2 linked regions of the Notamacropus eugenii genome follow. The protein of the gene in region 1 binds, or shares a complex with, the protein of each later gene. Links are inferred from orthologs where the notes say so. Each region holds a gene or a part of one and is shown on either strand. Other genes may lie near its edges. The genes, in order: CD40 and CD40LG.

The links.
Region 2: the proteins of CD40 (region 1) and CD40LG are in contact, whole or in part, in a crystal structure (PDB 3QD6), measured with the Homo sapiens proteins. The link is inferred for Notamacropus eugenii from reciprocal best matches to the Homo sapiens genes CD40 and CD40LG. Residues at the interface, in NP_001241.1 of Homo sapiens: Glu64, Ser65, Glu66, His76, Cys77, Gln79, Tyr82, Asp84, Asn86, Leu87, Trp109, Cys119; in NP_000065.1 of Homo sapiens: Ile127, Glu129, Ala130, Lys143, Gly144, Tyr145, Tyr146, Cys178, Pro217, Cys218, Gln220, Ser245, Gln246, Ser248, His249, Gly250, Thr251, Gly252.

The regions. Positions count from the first base shown.
Region 1 is NC_092872.1:475,711,163-475,720,375, forward strand, and holds the start of CD40 (tumor necrosis factor receptor superfamily member 5), read left to right. Parts: upstream 1-5,717; 5' UTR 5,718-6,326; coding exon 6,327-6,368; intron 6,369-9,213.
Region 2 is NC_092879.1:57,943,547-57,952,863, forward strand, and holds the start of CD40LG (CD40 ligand), read left to right. Parts: upstream 1-5,463; 5' UTR 5,464-5,569; coding exon 5,570-5,725; intron 5,726-8,529; coding exon 8,530-8,658; intron 8,659-9,317. UniProt on the Homo sapiens protein: Cytokine that acts as a ligand to CD40/TNFRSF5. Costimulates T-cell proliferation and cytokine production.

The sequences.
Region 1 (9,213 bases):
TGAATCTGGGGATGAAAGGATAGAGTTCAATGTATCAACAACATGAAATCAACAGCTCTAGATCCCCTACTCGGTATCTGTATTTTCCTTTCTCTGGTTATGACTTTCCCACAGTCACAGTACTAAGGCACTCAACGTATGATCAAATCATTTACTGAACAATGCAGAACTGAAAGGACGTAGTCTAAGACCTCTTGCATGTAGTCATCTGCCTCCAGTACTTTCCCAAAATCTCCCACTTGTTCTTCAGCTCTACCAGATGTGGCTGGGGAAATTCCCAAACCACTGGGGATCATGGGCAGGAAATAAAAAGAGGGATGTGTCCAAGTTCTCTTCTCTAGAGTAGAGGGAAAATCAAGAGAAGGATGGTGAGAGAGGTAGTCTTCTCCTCCAGCTCACCAGCCTGATGGGAGCCAATTTGGGGATTTGAGATTGATCTGCATTGCCTCTGCAGCCCTGGTATTCAGGACCCTCAGTAAGCAGCTTGAGATTCTGGATGTAGCAATAACTGCTCAAGGTTCCTCCCATCATTTAATGGAGGCCTAATATTTCTCAGTGTAATGGCAATCCCCTAATCTACATAGTGATCAGGAAATCTGAATCTTGAGGGACACAGATAGAAGAGAAAGGCAGCCTGTCTTGGTTGCTGACATCCAGATCTCACCCATTTGGTCCTGCCCATTTTAAGTATGTGTACCTTATCATTTACTTCAATAAGGGTGGGGTGGGGGCAGAAGAGTGATCATGAGTCTCTCTCTGCCAGTCCCCCTCTCTCTGTATCATTCTCATCATCCTGGGCAAAATAAATCAAATAGTTAAGTGATCAGGTAATCAACTCAGGTTACAAATGTTTTAAAGTTGTCAGGAATTAAAGCCAAATTCACTAGCCTTTCACTTCCTTTTGTGAAAATTGGAACACCTACCTTTCTCCAGTATTCTGGCATCTTTCCTATTCCCTACAGGCACTCAAAGGTTCCTGATAGTGATGCAGCAGTGACATTTTGCAGTTCCTGAAGGAGCCTTGCCAGGCAAGTCAAACCACCAACTCCATCTGGTCTACTACTTTCTTTCACATTCCAGTAGAAACAATCCAGAATCCTGATTCTAAGAGCTTTGGGAAGAGAAGAACCTCTCCCACTCCTAGACCACTGACAGTGCTTTCAGTCCAATCCTTGAGGCCATCATTCATGGGAGCAACTCATGTGGTGAAGGGCCCAGTCATCCTGACCAAAAGCAATCCATAGGGCAGGCAAGCTACTTAGTGGAAGCAATAAAGCCCCCTGGGGGACAGATAGGAAGGTGTGTCATTTGGGTGAATCAAACTATTACTACCATTCCCCCTAGATCCTATAATACCAATGCAATACCCATAGCAGCCTCTATGAATATGCATGTGTATTTCCAGGGTAAATTCACAAAATATAAATAACTCTCTACCTTGAAGGCAAAACCAAAATACTTATTTGGGACATCATTAGAATACCAAGAGGTAAGATTTAACAGGGTACTTATCACTAATCCAGGGATTACCCTGACATCTTAAACGTTCTTTCTGTCAGGTCTCCCCACAAAAACAAGTTCCCCTAGACAAATTCCTCCCTCTGCCCACTCACAGCTTGCTTCTCTCTCTCTGCTCTGCCTGCTCTCACTCTCTGCTCATGCTTGCTCTTTCTCTCCTTCTTGGGCAAGCTCCTCCCAGTCTGAGCTCCATGTAACCACAGATTCCATGTGATCACAGGCTCCATGTGTTAGGCCTATTAATGGGCAGGGAAGATCTTCCTATTCTACGAACATTGCAGACCCACAGACCAAGAGGACTGAGAATAGCAGCACTGCCAGCCTTGCTTCTAACCCAGCCCCTGCAGCTGTCATCTAGGAGATCAAGCATTCTAAAGATGGACCTGGCCTCCACAGGTGCTTCTGCCCTGTCTCCTCTTTGGTCATAGCTATTTAAGAAAGAAGAAAGGAAAGAAATACTTTAAGAAAGCTCTCATCATCAAAGTCCTTAGCATTATGAAATGACTCAGTATCAGAAAGAAGTCTGATTTTTATCAGAGGAAATAAAATTAAAGAAGAGGCATCACCAGCTGCTTTGCTGTTGTACCCTAAAGACCGCTAAGCTTTCCTACCTGACTTACTGCTGAATTCTCCTATATGTACTATTTCTCTCTATTAGAATGTGAACTCCTTAAGAGTAGGGATTGTCCTGTTTTTCTGTTGGAATCAATAGCATTTAACACAGTGCTTTGCATGTAGAAAGCACTTAAATGATTTTTCATTAATTTATTCAGTTATTCTTTTATATAGTTCTTGAGGGCTCTTCCCCTATGACTTAACTCCTCTAGGGCTCTACTCTCTTACTATTTCCTCATTTATCTTTAGCTTTAATATCCTATTAACCAATTACATTTCATCCTTTCCAGTAGAAAAACTATTTTCCTTGATAGAAGAAACAGACACAAAATAAGAGAGATGAGTACTTCTGCTTTCATTCCCTCATCCATCATAAGTTTTCCATCCAACTTGAGTGCTTCTGAGTCTTCTTTCTCCCCAATTTAGCTAATAAAGCTTTTTAAAATTATTCTTAGTATTCATCAACAAATTCAGCTCCATCTTGGACTTTAGCACTCCTAAAATATTCTTAGAGGACCATGCTGCCTTTTTTGAAAAAAGTATTATTCACTGTAATGGAATACTCTTGTACTATAGGAAATGATGAGCAGTTTGATTCCAAAAAAAGCCTGGAAAGACTTACATGAACTTATGCTGAGTGAATTGAGCAGAACCTAAAGACACTGTACCCAGTAACATCAACGTTGTGTGATGATAAGTTATGATAGACTTAGCTCTGCTCAGCAATACAATAATCCAAGACAATTCCAAAAGACTCATGATGGAAAATGCCTTCCACATCCAGAGAAAGAACTATAGAGTTTGAATGCAGATGGAAGCAGACTATTTTCACTTTGTTTTTTTTCATGTTTTTTCCCTTTAGTTTTGTTTCTTCTTTCACAAGAGGACAAAGTTGCTAACATGACTAATGTCTCAGTCCTCATCCATCTTGATCTCTTTGCAGCATTTGATGTTATTGACCACCCTCTCTTTCTGCATATTTTCTCCTCACTGGGTTTTCATGACACCAGGAAAGGGGAAGGCAATAAACAATCATATGGAAACTTCTGTGTATCAGGCACTATGCTAAGTACTTTTAAAAATTATCTCATTTTATCCTTCATCTCTGTAAGGCAAATACTATTATTACCCCCATTTTACAGTTGAGGAAACTCGGGCAAACAGATGTTAAGTAACTCACCAAGAGTCACACAGCTAGTAAGAATCTATTTTAATTGCTCTTCTTTGGCTCTCTTACTTCTTTGATTGTTCCTCTTCAATTTCCTTTGCTACATCATCACCCTTATTACCCTTCCTAACTGTAGGTGCAACCCAAGACTCTGTCTGGCCTTACTTTTTCTTTATACACTCTCTTTTGTGACTTAAATAAACTCCAATGGGTATATCATCATCTCTCTGCAGATGATTCCCAAATCTGTATATCCAGTCCTAGTATCTCTCATCTTGAATCACCAACTAGCTGCCTTTGGATATTTCAAACTGAATGTCCCAGAGGCATATCAAAGTCAACATGTCCCAAACAGATTTGATTACCCTCCCCCTAAGGCCATCCCCTCTTACCAACTTTCTTCTTCCTCTTAAAGGTACAAAGTTCCTACAAGTTATCCAGACTCTCAATCTCTTTTGTTGTTGTTGTGTCCAACTCTTTATGATGCCCTTTGGGATTTTATTGGCACTAGAGTGGTTTGCCATTTCCTTCTCCAGCTCATTTTACAAATGAGGAAACTGAGACAAACAGGATTAAGTGACTTGCCCAGGGTCACACAACTAGGAAGCGTCTGAGGCTGTATTTGAAGTCAGGAAAAAGATTCTTCCTGATTCTAAGCCCAGGGCTCTATTCACAGAGCCACCTAACTGCCTCATTCTCTAAGTCATGCTTAGCTCCTCATTCTCCATCACCTCCCATATCCAGTCAGGTGGCAAGTCCTGTCGGTTCTGCCTCTATAACATCTCTGGCATTTATCTCCACTCTACTCACATAACTACTGCCTTAGCCCAGTGCCTTATTACCTCTCTTCTGGACTATTGTTATAGCTTCCTATTTGGTTTTCCTTTTTCTAGTTTCTTTCTTCTCCACACAGCTGCCAAATTGAATAGTACTAAAACAGGTCTCCAATCATGTCAAGCCCCCTGTTCAATAAACTTCTGTTGGTTCCTTGAAATTTCTAGGACCAAACACAAATTCCCCTGTTTGGCATTTACAGCATGTATTGTAACTCTTTCCTTTCCCAGGCTTATTAAATATTACTTCCTTTCACATCTTCCTTGGTCCAAACTCCCAGGACCTTCTCATGTGTCTCATGACAACATTCCATCTCTAGTCTCTGAACCTTTTCACAGGCCATTCCTTCATTCCCAGAATGTCCTTTCTCCTTATCATCATCTCTTAGCATCCCTCATTCCTTTCAAAGCTCAACCTAAGCACAACATCCTACATGGGACTTTTCCTGATTCCCACTATTGCTGGTGCCTATGCTCCCAATTACCTCATAGTTATTCTGCATCCATATATAATTGATGCACCTAGGTATATATGTACACATATACACACATATGCACATAGCATGTCCCCAGAAGTTGTAGTACAATTTTAAACTTTAATAGCTTCAAAAATATAAATGCTAAACACTTATGGAAATGTAATTGTAAAGTTTACTCCTATTTCTTTGATGCTTATTTAATCTTGTTTAATTTAACTGTGAATTTTAAATTAATTTAATTGTGAATTTTGAGTACAATTTTTTTTAAGTTTAACGAGACGGTGTATGATTTGTGTGTGACAGTTTTTGAATGGCACTTTCTCTGAACATGGGGTGGGCGGGAGTCTCTTTTTGGGCTTGTCTAAAGTCACCAGAAGTCCAGCAGAACCAGGCTTGGATCCCAGATTTTCTAACTCTCACTTGGGGATTCTTGTAGGAGGAATAAGGTTTTACAAGATTTTGAAACCACAGATTTGGGGAGGTGAGGAATAGAGATTTTGTAAACCTGTGTGTAATGCAAAGATCACTGGATTTCAAATGAGATGTTCTGCCTTGGATTTCTTGATCTTAGGCAAAATTCCTTCCCTTCTGGGCTTCTATTTTTTTCCCCTTAAAATGAAGGTGGTAAATACATTTTGCATGCTCTCTGCTACAGAAATATAAACAATGACTATATTCTTGATTGTTAAAAGAAAGTCTGGAGTTGGAACGGGGAGGTGGTGACTACATAATCCTTAAAGTCCCTTAAAACACTCATAATACTAGGAAGAAAGAATGGTGAAATCTATTCTTTATAGCTTCTGAATCTTTCAGTAAGTGTGTATTAACTACCTACTGTGTGTCAGGCATCAGGCTAGGAGGTGAGGGCACAAGGACAAGTCCTTTCTCTTTGAGGAGCAAGTGGGAGTCAGGAAATCTGGCATCAGGCCTAGTCCCGCCGAGGACTCCTGAGTCAAGTTCTCTGTTTTGTAAAATGGCAGTAACTTTGACACTAGGATTGTTAAGTGCTGCTGAAATAATATGAACTATGGTTGGTCTTCCTGTCAGTTTCGGTCTTACAGTTGGGACAGAGAAGCGCTTCTCCCTACCCTCCCAGGTCCCTCATTTAGCCTGGAATTTCCTTAGGAATGAAAGAGAAACTCAGCTTGGGAAACTCCTTTCCTTGCCAACACCCCCGCTCTCCTCTCAAGCTGCATTTCTCCCAGGGGACTTCCTCTAGAAAAGCTGGCAGAGAGCCCAGAGGGCGGGGGGGAACAGACTTTCAGTTCTGTCGGCTCGGTGGACCGTGGTGGGGGTGGAGCAGGGTTGCGCCCCTAACCAGAGGGTCTCCAGGCCCACGGGCGAGTCTCAATTCAGGGCTCTTATAATCCTTGGAGTACAGACAGGATACCTCTTTCCTGCCTTTCCTGCCCTCTGGGATTTCACTACAGGAGTTGGAAGGAAGAGGAGAGAAGCTCAGGGTGCTAGGAAAAGAGTCTTCTCAACTGGATCTCGGAAAACTGTCCTAGCCCAGAATATCCACGGGAAAGACTCAATTGAGGTGCGTCCAGGGGACTCTCCGGGCTTCTAGTTCTCCCGCCAACATCATTAACGATTGACTCGAGGTGGCCAGCCCATGTTATGGGTGGAGCTTCCCTGTGGTGTGTACGGGATTATTAAAACGCCGGCTACGGGTCACTCTCACCTGCCTTGGAGCTCTCATCCAGTCCAGCCATGATCCTGTTCTGTCTGCTGGGGGCCTGCGTTTTCACCGCTGTGAGTTGATTTCCTACCCCTTCATTCCCCTTCTCCTTCCCTGGAGGCCTGGCTGGGATCTAAAACTTGGGATGAGATGGAAAGAAGAGCAGGGCTTTTTGGAGAGGGCTCACCCATCTAGCCATAGTCTGGATCCTAGGGGATCCTGAAAGGTGCTCCCTTTACGCCTCAGTTTCTTCCTCTGTGAAATGAGGATAATAGACTCTCTGAGGTTCCTCCTTCACCAGACCATTTACCAGAACATTTGAGTTACTTTCTTGAGATCAACTAATGAAAGATGGGGAGAAGCTGAAAGTTGAACATAAGGGAGAGAGAGAGGGTAGGGGAAGGGAAATGACCTGGTGGCAGAAGACAACTCTCCTTATTTATGGGGAGTGAGCTGTGGGTCACCCCACTAACTGCCAGACAATAGGTCATTTATCCATGGTCTGCTCCTTGCAGAAAGCTTTAAGGGTCTGAGGAAATCAGTGTCTTAGTAGAGCTGAATCAATTCATCCCACATTCCTTGAGTTTGTATTATGTCCAGTTCAGTCCAGAGTTTTTGTGTGAGTTCTATCACTGACACGTCAAAGAGAAAGAGGGGAGACAGCCTCTCAGTTGGCACAGAACTAGGCCCTGGGAGTCTGTGTTCTGGCTTAAACCCCTGGGACTGGCTGACTAAAGAATTGAGGAGGTTACAGATAGGTTGTATCTAGGCCAGAAAGGAAATGGAATAGAATAGGAAGAGGTGGAATAAGACCAGTTTCCTGTCCCTTTGCTCATATTACAGGATGCTGTTGCATCTGGTAACATGGTCATGGGATCCTCCATAACGTGGGGGGAATCTTATCAGTGCTTCCCTTCTGTGCTCTTTCTGGGGATAGAGGGAAGGATAGATGAAGAGTTGAAACTCCTTAGAGAAGGGGCAGGGGGAGACACAGCAGGCAAGGCTACCACATCTTTATAGGACCCCTGCTCTGGTCGCAGGGGAAATGCCCAGGGAAATACCCTATGATCCCTAACTCAAAGAAATGGACACAATTTGAGGGATGGCATCAGGGGATTAAATTAAACAAATCATTGGGAATTGTTTTTTGAACTGAGAATCCTGGAATGTTTGATTTGAAAGGGGTTCAGAAAACAGAATGCCAAAATTGGAAACAGTAGAATAGAGAATATCAGAACTGGAAGGGATTTTAGAGGGAAGTACAAAATCAGTGGAAGAGATATTAAATTTGGAATCAGACACCCAAGTTCAAATCCCTGATCTGTCTCTTAGAACCTGTGTGACCTTGAGCAATTCATTTCACCCCTCTATCCCTCAATTTCTTCATAAGAATGAAGGGGTTAGACTAGATCTATTTCTAAAATCCATGTCAAATATCTTTGATCCTATGAACATATAATGTCAGAACTGGAAGGACCTGTAGAATACAAAACATCAGAATTTCCTAGTTCTTAGACCACACCATGACAAGGACCTAAGCTTTATGAAATGGTAGAGTTGGAAAGGACCTTAGAGACTGTTTTAGTTCAACTGTTGCAATTGACAAAAGAGGAAACTGGGGCTCAGTGATATGAAGTGACTTGCCCACATTGAATTAGGCAAAGGCTTCTTCCTCTCAACCATACTGTCTCTCAGAGGGGACTTCAGTACTGCCCCAGGATGATGGTGTCTCTCTGAAGCTTTCTCTGTCTCTCTCTCTGTCTCTCTGTCTTTCTCTCTGTCTGTCTCTCTCTCTCTGGCGCGCGTGCGCGCACACACACACACACACACACACACACACACACACACACACACTCTGAAACTCAGAACTGCCCAAGCATATCACTGGGGAATTTATAAAGAGCCACGCCCCTCTCAGTTTTTTGGATAGTTCCTCATTTTGGAGGTTGGGAATTCCCCTTGTACCTGGTCTGCTGTGTTGTGTCCCCCCCCCATAACTTCCCTCCTGTTACGCACCCCATTTCACTCAGTTGGGGGGGAGGGGGGAGTTGTCAGTGAACTGTAAAACTCTAGAGTGAATAAACAAGCCTAGGAGGATTGCTGGGAAGGAGTTGGGTTCCTGATGGGAGAGGAAGGGGAAAGCCACTTCTGCTTCCCTCACTTTCATTTTCACTGAGCACAAAAGTTAAGAGGGCAAATAGAGATATAGAGAACGGAGGATGAAGCCAGAGGTGGAAGAAAGAGCTTTTGTGGAAGGGACCACATGGGGGGAAGAGGCTGGTAGAAAGGTAGTGAAGTGTAGTAGGGTCAGGCTCACTAACCCCTCATTCCAAGTTTTGCCACTGGGCAAGGGCTGAGCTCCCCAAAATAGGGAGAAGAATTCTTTAGCCATGTGCACTTGAGAGTATTTTGTAATAGGTTGGTCACAGGTTCACTGGAGATGGGTTTCTCTTCTATTTTATGATGGAGTTAATGATATTGGTTACTGGACTGAAGAGCACTAGACTTGGAGTCAAAAGTCCCAGATTCTGGGCTCAGATGCAAAACTTGCTAGCTATGTGATCTTAAGTAAATCATGTCCACACTTCAAGCCTCAGTTTGCTCATCTATATAAAAGAGATACTAATACTGGCACTAAAGGGCTTTGCAAAACTGCAAACTGTGAAAGTCCTATGTAACTGTGACCTGTTATTTTAGTGGTAATTCTCCTGTGTTACAGTATAAAGAGCACTGGATTTAGGGTTAGAAAACAGGGGTCCCCATTCTGCTTTTGCTACTTATTATCTATGTGACCTTGGGCAAATTACTGAATTTCTTTGGACTTCAGTTTCTTCTTTGAGTCTCAGTTTCCTCCTCTGTAAATGAAGGAGTTGAATTAAATGATCCCTAAAGTGCCTTCTAACTGGATCTAATGGGGTG
Region 2 (9,317 bases), on another chromosome or scaffold:
AGGATAGGAGGACTTTTTGGACACCACGCCAACATTTGTGTTCTTCATTCCTTTGGGACAAACCCCATTGGAGCGTTTCCTTACTGAAGGTCACAGGAACTTAGCTTTAGTAGACTTCAAAGGGAGTTTTGAGATCCTCTAGTCCAGTGTTTTTTAAACTGTGGGTTGCAACCCGGAAAATTTGGCAACAGTAAAAGGTTTCCAAAGATGGAACAACCAAAAAATTAAATAAAAATCAAGCATGTAATGAATCGGAGATGTTTCTGGCAGCACTTGGTTCTGAACATAAAGCATATGTACTGTGCACTGTGTCCTCAGGCTATGTAATGCCAACCAATGCTATTTAAACACAAAAAGGGGTCTCAAAAAAGTTTAAGAAGCCCTGGTCTAGTCCAACCCCATCCCTTCACAGAGTAAGATGCTGAAGCCCAGGGAGGGAAGGTGACTCAGTGGCAGAGCTGGGACTGCCTTTCTCCCTGCACTGTCTGGGTGATTGGTGCAGTGAAAGACTAGTCTAGTCAGATTCAAGCTCTGATCACAGACTTTAAACCATCCTTGTCTCCTTTTCCTTTCTGTAAAGAAATTTCTCCTCTCCCACCTCCACCAGACATCTATTATGTCCATGTAAACAATGGTGGAGAACAGTTTGCTGCATTTGCTGAGTCAGGAGCCCAGACTGGACCCAGCAGCCCCCAGTTTAATGAATTGAGGTCGGCCTGGGGAAGGAAGTGCTAATATAGTCATAGCTCACATCTGTAGGTGTGAGCTGATTCATGTCAGAGGTCTTGAGCCATGCAAAGGATGGCAGCCAGCAGATGGCAGAAGAACGTCCTCTGAGAATTCTGGGGGGACTAGAAGGAAGGAGAGTGCTTCCAAGGAGTGGCCAGTCCCTCCTTCCCCTTGCACCTTTGATTTGTGGAAGTATAATAGAGATCTCCACATTATATAATAATAAGGAGAAAAGCTAATATTTGTATTATGTTTACTATATGCCAGGCACTGTGCTTAGCACTTTACAATTGCTTTCTCATTCGATCCTCACAACAACCCTGGGAGCTAGATACTATTATGAGCCCCATTTTACAGATGAGGAAACTGAGACATTTAGAGGTGAAGGGACTTGCCCGGGGTCATATAGCTAGTAAGTGTCTGAGGCTAGATTTCAACTTACATCTTCCTGACTCCAGGCCCAGCATTAAGGCCTGGAGCTATATCCATATTTCAAGGCAGCATGGCATAGTCTAGAAAGAGGATTGGATTTGGAGTTCCAGAAGAAATGCCACCTGACTGTTCTGTGACCCAGAGCAAGTCACATACCCTTTCTAGGCCTCAGTTATCTCCCCTCTCTTTAAAATGAACTAGAGGGCTTCTGAGATCCTTTCCAGCTCTAAATCATCGATCCTATGGTGAGGCCCTGGGCCAATCAATTCCCTTCCCTGGGCCTCAGTTTTGTCATCCATCATAGGGCTTCTTAAACTTTTTCCACTAGAGACTCCTTCAGCACTTCTTAAACTGTGGGTAACGACCCCAAATGAAGGGAATGGATTAGATGGTCTCTTAGGTCCATTTGAGCTCAAGATCCATTATATATGTATTTGTTAATATGATCATTATTGAACATTAGATCTGGAATCAGATCTTGGTGCCCATAGTATTCCAGCTCCAGAGCTGGAAGGGATCTCAGGGCCCATCTAATCCAAGCCGCTGATTTTTTTATAGATGAGGAAATTGAGGCCCAAGAAAGGTAAGTGACTTATCTAAGGTCATGCAGATAGCAAGTAGCAGAGGCAGAATTTGAATCCAGCTCCTTTGACTCCAGCCTCAGCTCTTTCCCCACTATGATAAAGACTTAGTCCAATATCCATCATTTTACAGGTGTGAAAATGGCTAACTTTTCAGTAGAGCTGGGACTAAAATTACCCAAGTCTCAAAACTCTTAGGTCAAGAGTTCTTTTGTCTGTCTCCCTCCCAAAGCTAGAGGAGAGTGATCAGGACTTTGTCCCAGGACAACCACATCTACAGTGGGAAAACTTCTAACAAGGAATGAATTGTCTTTATTCCTAGCTCAATGCCTGGTAAGACAAATGTGAATTTTGAAGACACTGATTTGGTAACAAGCCAAGAGTTGTTGGAGGCAGAACCTGGTAGGTAGTGAGACTCCAAGAAGGAACAGAAGACAAAGAGTTTAATCAAGGAGAAGACCGGTATGAGTTGTTGTCGTTTTGTTGAAAAGGCTGTTAGAACTTAGTCAATGGGAGACAGTGAAGAGAATAGTCCCTCATGGACAACGGTCCAAGCTAGAGTGGCTTGTCTTGAAGGATGTCTGGATGTAGAACCTAGAGAAGCAGCTAGCTTGGGCTTCTGGCAGCCATGGGAAGCAGGGTTATGCCCCCAAGTCCAACAAGAAAGAATTGAGGTTCTGCACAGACCAGGGAGAAGACAGCGATCCTGGGGGGTGAAGCAGACTAAAGTGGTAATAACCAGTCTTATACCCCAAGCTGAATACCTACCTATATAGAATTTGTGCCCTCAAATTCTTGGGATCACAGATCTAGAGCTGGAAGGCCATCTAATACAATCCTTTTGGGGTTTTTTTGTTGTTGTTTTTGTTTTTACATATAAAGAAACTGGTGCCCACAGAAGCTAGTTGACTTACCCAAGGTGGGACAAATAGTAAGTATCAGAGGTGGAATTGGAACCCAGGTCCTCTGACCCTGAAGTCAGCACTCTTCCCACTGTACTCCTCCCTCCCACTACAGTAAAAGATTTTTGCCTGAGCCAGATGGTGATAAAGGACCTGGAATCAGTGCTAGGACTGGACATTTTTGTACATGGAACAAAGAGATCCCAAGACACTGGACAATTCACTTGGAGTGTGGCCACTGGCCACCAGAGAGGGAGGGATCATCTAATGGCTTCCTTATTGAACTAACCATTACTGTTAACTAGGTGTTAGGCTCAGTTGTTTCTAGATGCTGAAGGACTCCAAGTGCTTTTAGCACCCTCTAAATTTCCCTTGCCCTAGGACAAAATTCCAGTTGCCCTACCCTAGTTATAGAACTTCCTGGAGTATTCTCATCAGACTGGGAAAGAAAAATCTGTAGCTCAAGGCTGGAGTCTAAGAAAAGGAAACAAAAAAGAAAACACCTTATCCCTTGCATTAGAGATGACAAGACAGCCACAAAGACAAGTAAACCCTTCCTCTCCCATTGCTGTCAGAGACACCTTATAAAGCTGCCCAAGGTTTCTTTCCACGGGTTTACAAAAACCCAGCCTCAGCCCCTAGGCTGACCCACTGTCCTTTTCTCCTTTTCCCCCTCTTCACTGCTATGACCTTTGGTCATGCTAGCCAATGTTAATATTATAACATCCTGACTTCTCAAACCTAGGGGCCTGGGAAGCCAGTGTCTAGCCCAGTAGATTTCATAATGTAGCATCTTCCCTCAGTGGAATTAAACAACCTTGTGGAAGAAAGGAGATGTCCAGCTCTGATAAAAATCGTGCTATTTGCCTGGGAGCTGATTTGCTGCACACACACGCACACACACAGAGGACAGGATGCTGGAGCGTGGGTGGTGATGAGCTGATGCTGAGTCTACTGGTGGTGTGCATATCTGATCACTGCTGCATTTGACATTGTTTTCTTTCAAAACAATTTGGAATTCATTACAGAAACAAACTTTTCATTGTGGTCTCTGGCCAAACATGAGTCTCTTGACACTTGCTGCCTGTCACAGAACATTTCAAGAGTTTCTTTAACCATGAATGCCTTGTGGGAAGAAAATGCAAATAGCATTTAGAAAAGTGGATTTCTTGACACCTAAGTAATTTGCTGCTGATACTTTTGGGGCTTGGGGGGGTGGGGTGCGGGAGTGGGTTGTCTGTCTCACTACGAAGTGAAATGTTAGCACTTATTTGGCAAGTTCAGGTCATGCTTAGAGAAAATCCGGATGATTCATGGGAGTAACGTCAGATCAAGTCGATTAAATTCAACAATCATATTAAAGTGCCTACTATGTGCCAGGTCCTGTGACAGTGCTGGGCCTACAAAGACAAAAAAAATTGAAATAGTGCCTGCACTTAAGGAGTTTCCAATCTAATGAGGAGCTTATAGCAAGTGACTGGACAGAGAATAGGGCCTGGACAAGGGAATTCATTTTCATAGGGAAATCCCCTCGTGAGAAAACTCCCTCTTCCAATGCAAGTCAGTATTGACTTTTCTCCAACTTAAGAGACCTAGAGAGTCTAGTCTAGAGTCTAGAACACTACAAGGTTAAGTGATTTGCCCAGGGCCACACAGCCAATAAGTGTCAGAGGCAGGACATCAACCCAAATCGACTTGGTTCCTAGGCCAGTTTTACCTACTATACCATGCTGCCTCTCATGAGTTGGTATGGGACAGGGGTGGGGAGCCTGTGACTTTGAGGTCACACGTGGCCCTCTAGGGCCTCAGGTGCAGCTCTTTAACTGAATCCAAACTTCACCGAACAAATCCCCCTAATGAAAGGATTTGTTCCGTAAAACTTGGACTCAGTCAAAAAGTTGAACCTGAGAACCTAGGGCCACATGCGGGTTCCCCACCCTGGTAGAGGACTTAATATTTTATCCAAAGTTCATTCACATGTTTTATCTTATTTGAGTCTCATCAGGAGCTAGAGGGGTGGGCAGGGTAGGCTTTCATTGTTCCCATTCCTTGGATGAGGAAAGGAAAGGTGATTTACATAAAGTCATGTGTCAAGTTAATAATGGAACCAGGACCAGACCAGGTGATCTTGTTCTGGATTGCTAGCAAGCGAAAGTTGATGGAAAGTGAAGATGTCATTATCTGATGGATTTGCTCCTGGTGAATAATGAATTTGGCTAAGTCAGAATAAAATTTCTCCATTCTCCTTAATCCCAAAGTTTGGGTCTAATTCTCTTGGATGACTACCTCAAGTCCTTCTTTCTCTTGGCCTATGGATTGGGTAGTGGTGGTGTTGAACTGTACAAAACCAACATGAATCTGAGAATTGCTAGTCTTCTGCCTTGCTTTGGGATGGACAGCTCCAGCCTAACCAGCCTTGATTCTGTGTGAGGAGCAATTAGCTGACCATTCTTGATAGTCAAATCAATCCAATCTTTTTTTTCCTAGGCCTATTTTCTTTTCCATAAACTGGAGACACATTAGTAAGACCGAAATTGAAGCTAGTCAGTCTTTGTCATTTTCCTGGAAACGGGCAAACCAAGACCCATCAAGCCTTGCCATAGGAAAATACTGCCATTGGCTACTAAGGTTTTGAACGTTTCAAGGCAGGAATGAATAGATGGAAGAAGCAACTCGTCTCTTCTTTGCCACCCAAAGGGGGAAAGCCTGGAAGTGAACGATATGGGTGCAATTAAAAAAAAAACAACCCTTTACGTAACTTTTTTACTGGGAGAGAACACCACGAAGCACATTTTCCAGGAAGTGTGGGCTGTGATGATTGTGTGCTCTTAACTAATCCTGAGTAGGGTAGCAAGTACACCAGCCTTCTAATGCTGCTTCTGCAAGCTCCTCTCTCAGAAGATCGCATTTCAACTCACCCGAAGCATGAATGAACCGTACAACCCACCTGCTCCCCCGGCTGGGAATACCATCTCTGTGGGCACCATGAAAATCTTTATGTTTTTACTTACCCTTTTTGTAATTGCTCAGACTATTGGGACGGCGTTTTTTGGTGTCTACCTTCATAGAAGGCTGGATGAGGTAAGACTAAGTGCAAGGCTTGATGAAATTGGGTTGCTTGTTTTTCTTGACTTGACATCTTGAGTTTTAACGTTGGGCTTCAAACTCTACCCAAATGAGGGGAAAGAGGAGAAGTTGGAGGGAGATGATATTCTTCCCCTACACATTTGGTTACCTCATCAAGGATTTCTTGTCCTTCAGATTTTTGCTCTTTCAGAAAGTTCCGTGTGATGAAAAGTCACTTTTGAATTTTTTTAATTGAAATTTACAATAGAAGAGCTCATTAGCAATGGATAAGCTCGTGTCAATTGAATATTTCATCCTATTTTCAATTAGCACAGACATGAGAGGACAAGAATATTCTGTCACTAATTAAAAGGTATTCTTTGCAGAATCATTTGTGATAAGGTAGCAAATTGATTTTTTTCTCTGAAAAATAGCTTAGATTTCCGTAGCACAACCAACTTTACAAAGAACTTTCCTTCCAATAATCATGGTAGATAAGTAGTGTCAGGATTTTTTTTTTTTTTGGCTAGACTTGTAATTTCATCCAGATCAGGAATGGTTTGCATGGAATGTTGTCCCCTGCCGCATATTAACAACTGTTCTGCAATTTATTGTCTTAAGAGAGTTACCTGGGGCGCTCTGAAAGGCCAAGTAACTTTCCTACAGCCACACAGCTAGCATGTGTCATAAAGAGGGCTTGAATTCAAGTCTTCCTAACTATCGGACCACTGTAGGTTAAACTTCCTCTCAGTGCCACAATGATTATCCCCCCTTTATAGATGGTGCAATTGGGATTCACAGAGCTCAAAGGTCTCCTGATTTCAAAAGCCGGCATTCTCCCCACTAAGCTCCATTGCCCGTCTTAGGTTGGTCCATGTCCTTCGACACTTAGGTTCAGAAACGCAAAAGTAGTTGGGTAATAGAGCGGGTCAATTTGAATTCTTAAAAAATTATAACAGGGAAGATGCATTTTGTTCCCACAGACACTCTCACTAACAAGAGACATGGAATATCTAGGGCAGGGCTTCTTAAATTTTTTCCACTCTTGACCCCTTCAGTATGACCATGACCCACAGTTTAAAAAGTCACGCTCTAGAGGATGCCACTCATTTCGATGAAAGAGGGATGATCCATACAATTATTCATATGGAAGCTTCTAAGAATCTGGATTTTACCAGTATACAAGTCGAACATGTGGGTAATGATGAATTCTTCATTTGTCCATCTGTCGTCCCCACGGCTGTGAGGCTAGCCATTGCCATAGCCTAGCGGGCATAATGGAGACCCTAGAAATATTAGATACAACGATCAGGATCCTGGTGGCTCAATAGCCAGTTAACAAGGAGAGCCAGAGAAGCTTTGGGTTTGGCCTTTGTCAGTCAAGTGTCTGGTCACTTGACTGGTTCTGGAGGTGAAATACCCCTCTTACCTGTGTAGCCCCAGCTTTCCTTTAGCACCCATGTCTAACCCCATAGCTAAAATGCCAGTGTTCTCCTTGGATGCCTCATCATGGTATGCAGATGACCCTTGGGTCTTTGGAGGCACTGCTAGTGGAGTACAAGCTTTGGCAAGTCTTACCAAGCTGAGAAGCCCTGGGCCTGGTGTCCAGCCCTGGTGATATGCTCTGTCTACTGCCTGAGGACCAGCTTAGATAAACCTAAAGAAAGAAACTCATTACCCAAAAGATGACTACAAGAATGGAGTCTTTGACAATGACTAATTCATGAAATAGTCTTAAAATGCCTCGATGGTTTGCAGTAAAGGGATTATACAGCTTAAATTCCACATACTGAAATCTCCTGAGGCATATGAATTGCAAGGACTTGTGACAATATTTTTGGATGAAAAGTTTCTATCAAGTTCCAAAGTTGTTGGTAGCTGGGGTGATGGAGAAAAGATTAGACTTGGAGTCTAAAGTTCTGCCTCTTATCCTTGCTGGATAGCCAAAGCCAAATCTCTTAACCTGTCTGGACCTCAGTTTCCTCATCCGTGAAATGAAGGGGTTGGGACTAGATCTCTTCTAAGGTCCTTTCTGAATGAAAATCTAAGTAAATTGAAGAGCAATAAGTTTAAAAAATTTTTATTTAAAAAATTTTTATTTTTAATGATATTTTATTTTATATTATTTTCATTTACTAATCTATCACCCTTTCCTTTTCTACCCAGTGAGCTATCCTTTGTAGCAAAGAGTCAAAAAAGAAAAAAAGTTTCTTAGTAACATTTCCCAACACATCAATCCAGTACATGTGATGTAGCACCCCGTAGCCCGCAAGCTTTGCTAAACAGTGAGCAAAGCACATGAAATAACACTTTTTCAAATAGTCAAATGCTAAAGTGTGATTTTAATATAACAATTATTGTGATTGTGGTTTGGGGGTATCATGTTTTTAGTTAGGTTGTGATTTCTGCCTAGGTCCCACTAGTGCGCCAGTTATCCCAGGATACTTTGCTTCTGGCTTGTGAGGAAATAGAGACCTCCAATTCCCTGAAAGTTGGATATTCAGTATGTGTAGAGCCCATATAAGATTGTATGCCATCTCAGGAAGGGAGGGGAGAGGGAAGGGGAGAAAACTGAAGTCTTATGGAAGTGATTGTTGAAAACTGAAAACAGATAAATTAATTACATTTTTTTAAAAAGTTGGATATTCAGTGCCATTACTCACTATTTGGCATGTTTTAGATGTCATCCCCCCCCCCCCCCCCAATCGTTTTTCTTTCAAAGCACCATGGGAGGGGATAGGGGGCCTGGGTGTTGAAGCATCATTGCCTGATGCACTCTCAGCCTCATGGGGCTCACATCTTTGCTCTTCCACAACCAGGTAGAAAAGGAGATGCATCAGCAAGAGGGCTATTTTATGCTACAGATGCTACAGAAATGCAACCAGAAAGACTTCACCAATTACCTGAACTGCCCGGAAATTCTAGCCTATTTTCAGAAGCAACTTAAGGTAAACTATGACTGATTTTATTGTCTATGTGGGTCATAAGAGCTAGAGATGAGCAGGACCTTCAGGGCCACCTGGTTCAATCTCTTGTTTTATGGAAGTTGAATGACTTACCCAAGGGTCACCTATCTAATAAATGGCAGAACTGGGAATTTTAACTCAGCTCCTCCAACTCCAAAACCACTTCTCTTTCCATTACAGTCCAACTCCCTCATTTTACAAATGAGGAAACTGAGGGCCAAAAAAGATTGAGTGACTTGCCCACACAGCTAATACATGGCAAAGCCGGGATTCAAACCCAGATCTCCAGCCAAATTCAGGGCTCATTCCAATCTGCCACATTTAACAATGTAAGTTTTAAATGAATACAAAGAAAATGCCATAAGAAAGGCAAAACACATGTGGGAAACTTATTGTGAAGGATCAGAATTCTGGAGGAGGAGGTCTAGGTTCTGAGCCTGGCTCTAACACTTGCCTCTTTGATTCCCTGGGTGATCGTATCAGACTTCATACTGACTTAGAAAAATCACATGTTTACGTTATCTATATTCTATTGTATTTTTGCTTATGTTGTTAAATATTTCCTAAATACATTTTAATCTGGTTCTGATTGTACTTGGGAGTGACACCATTGGACTCAACTTTTTCCACTTGCCACCCCT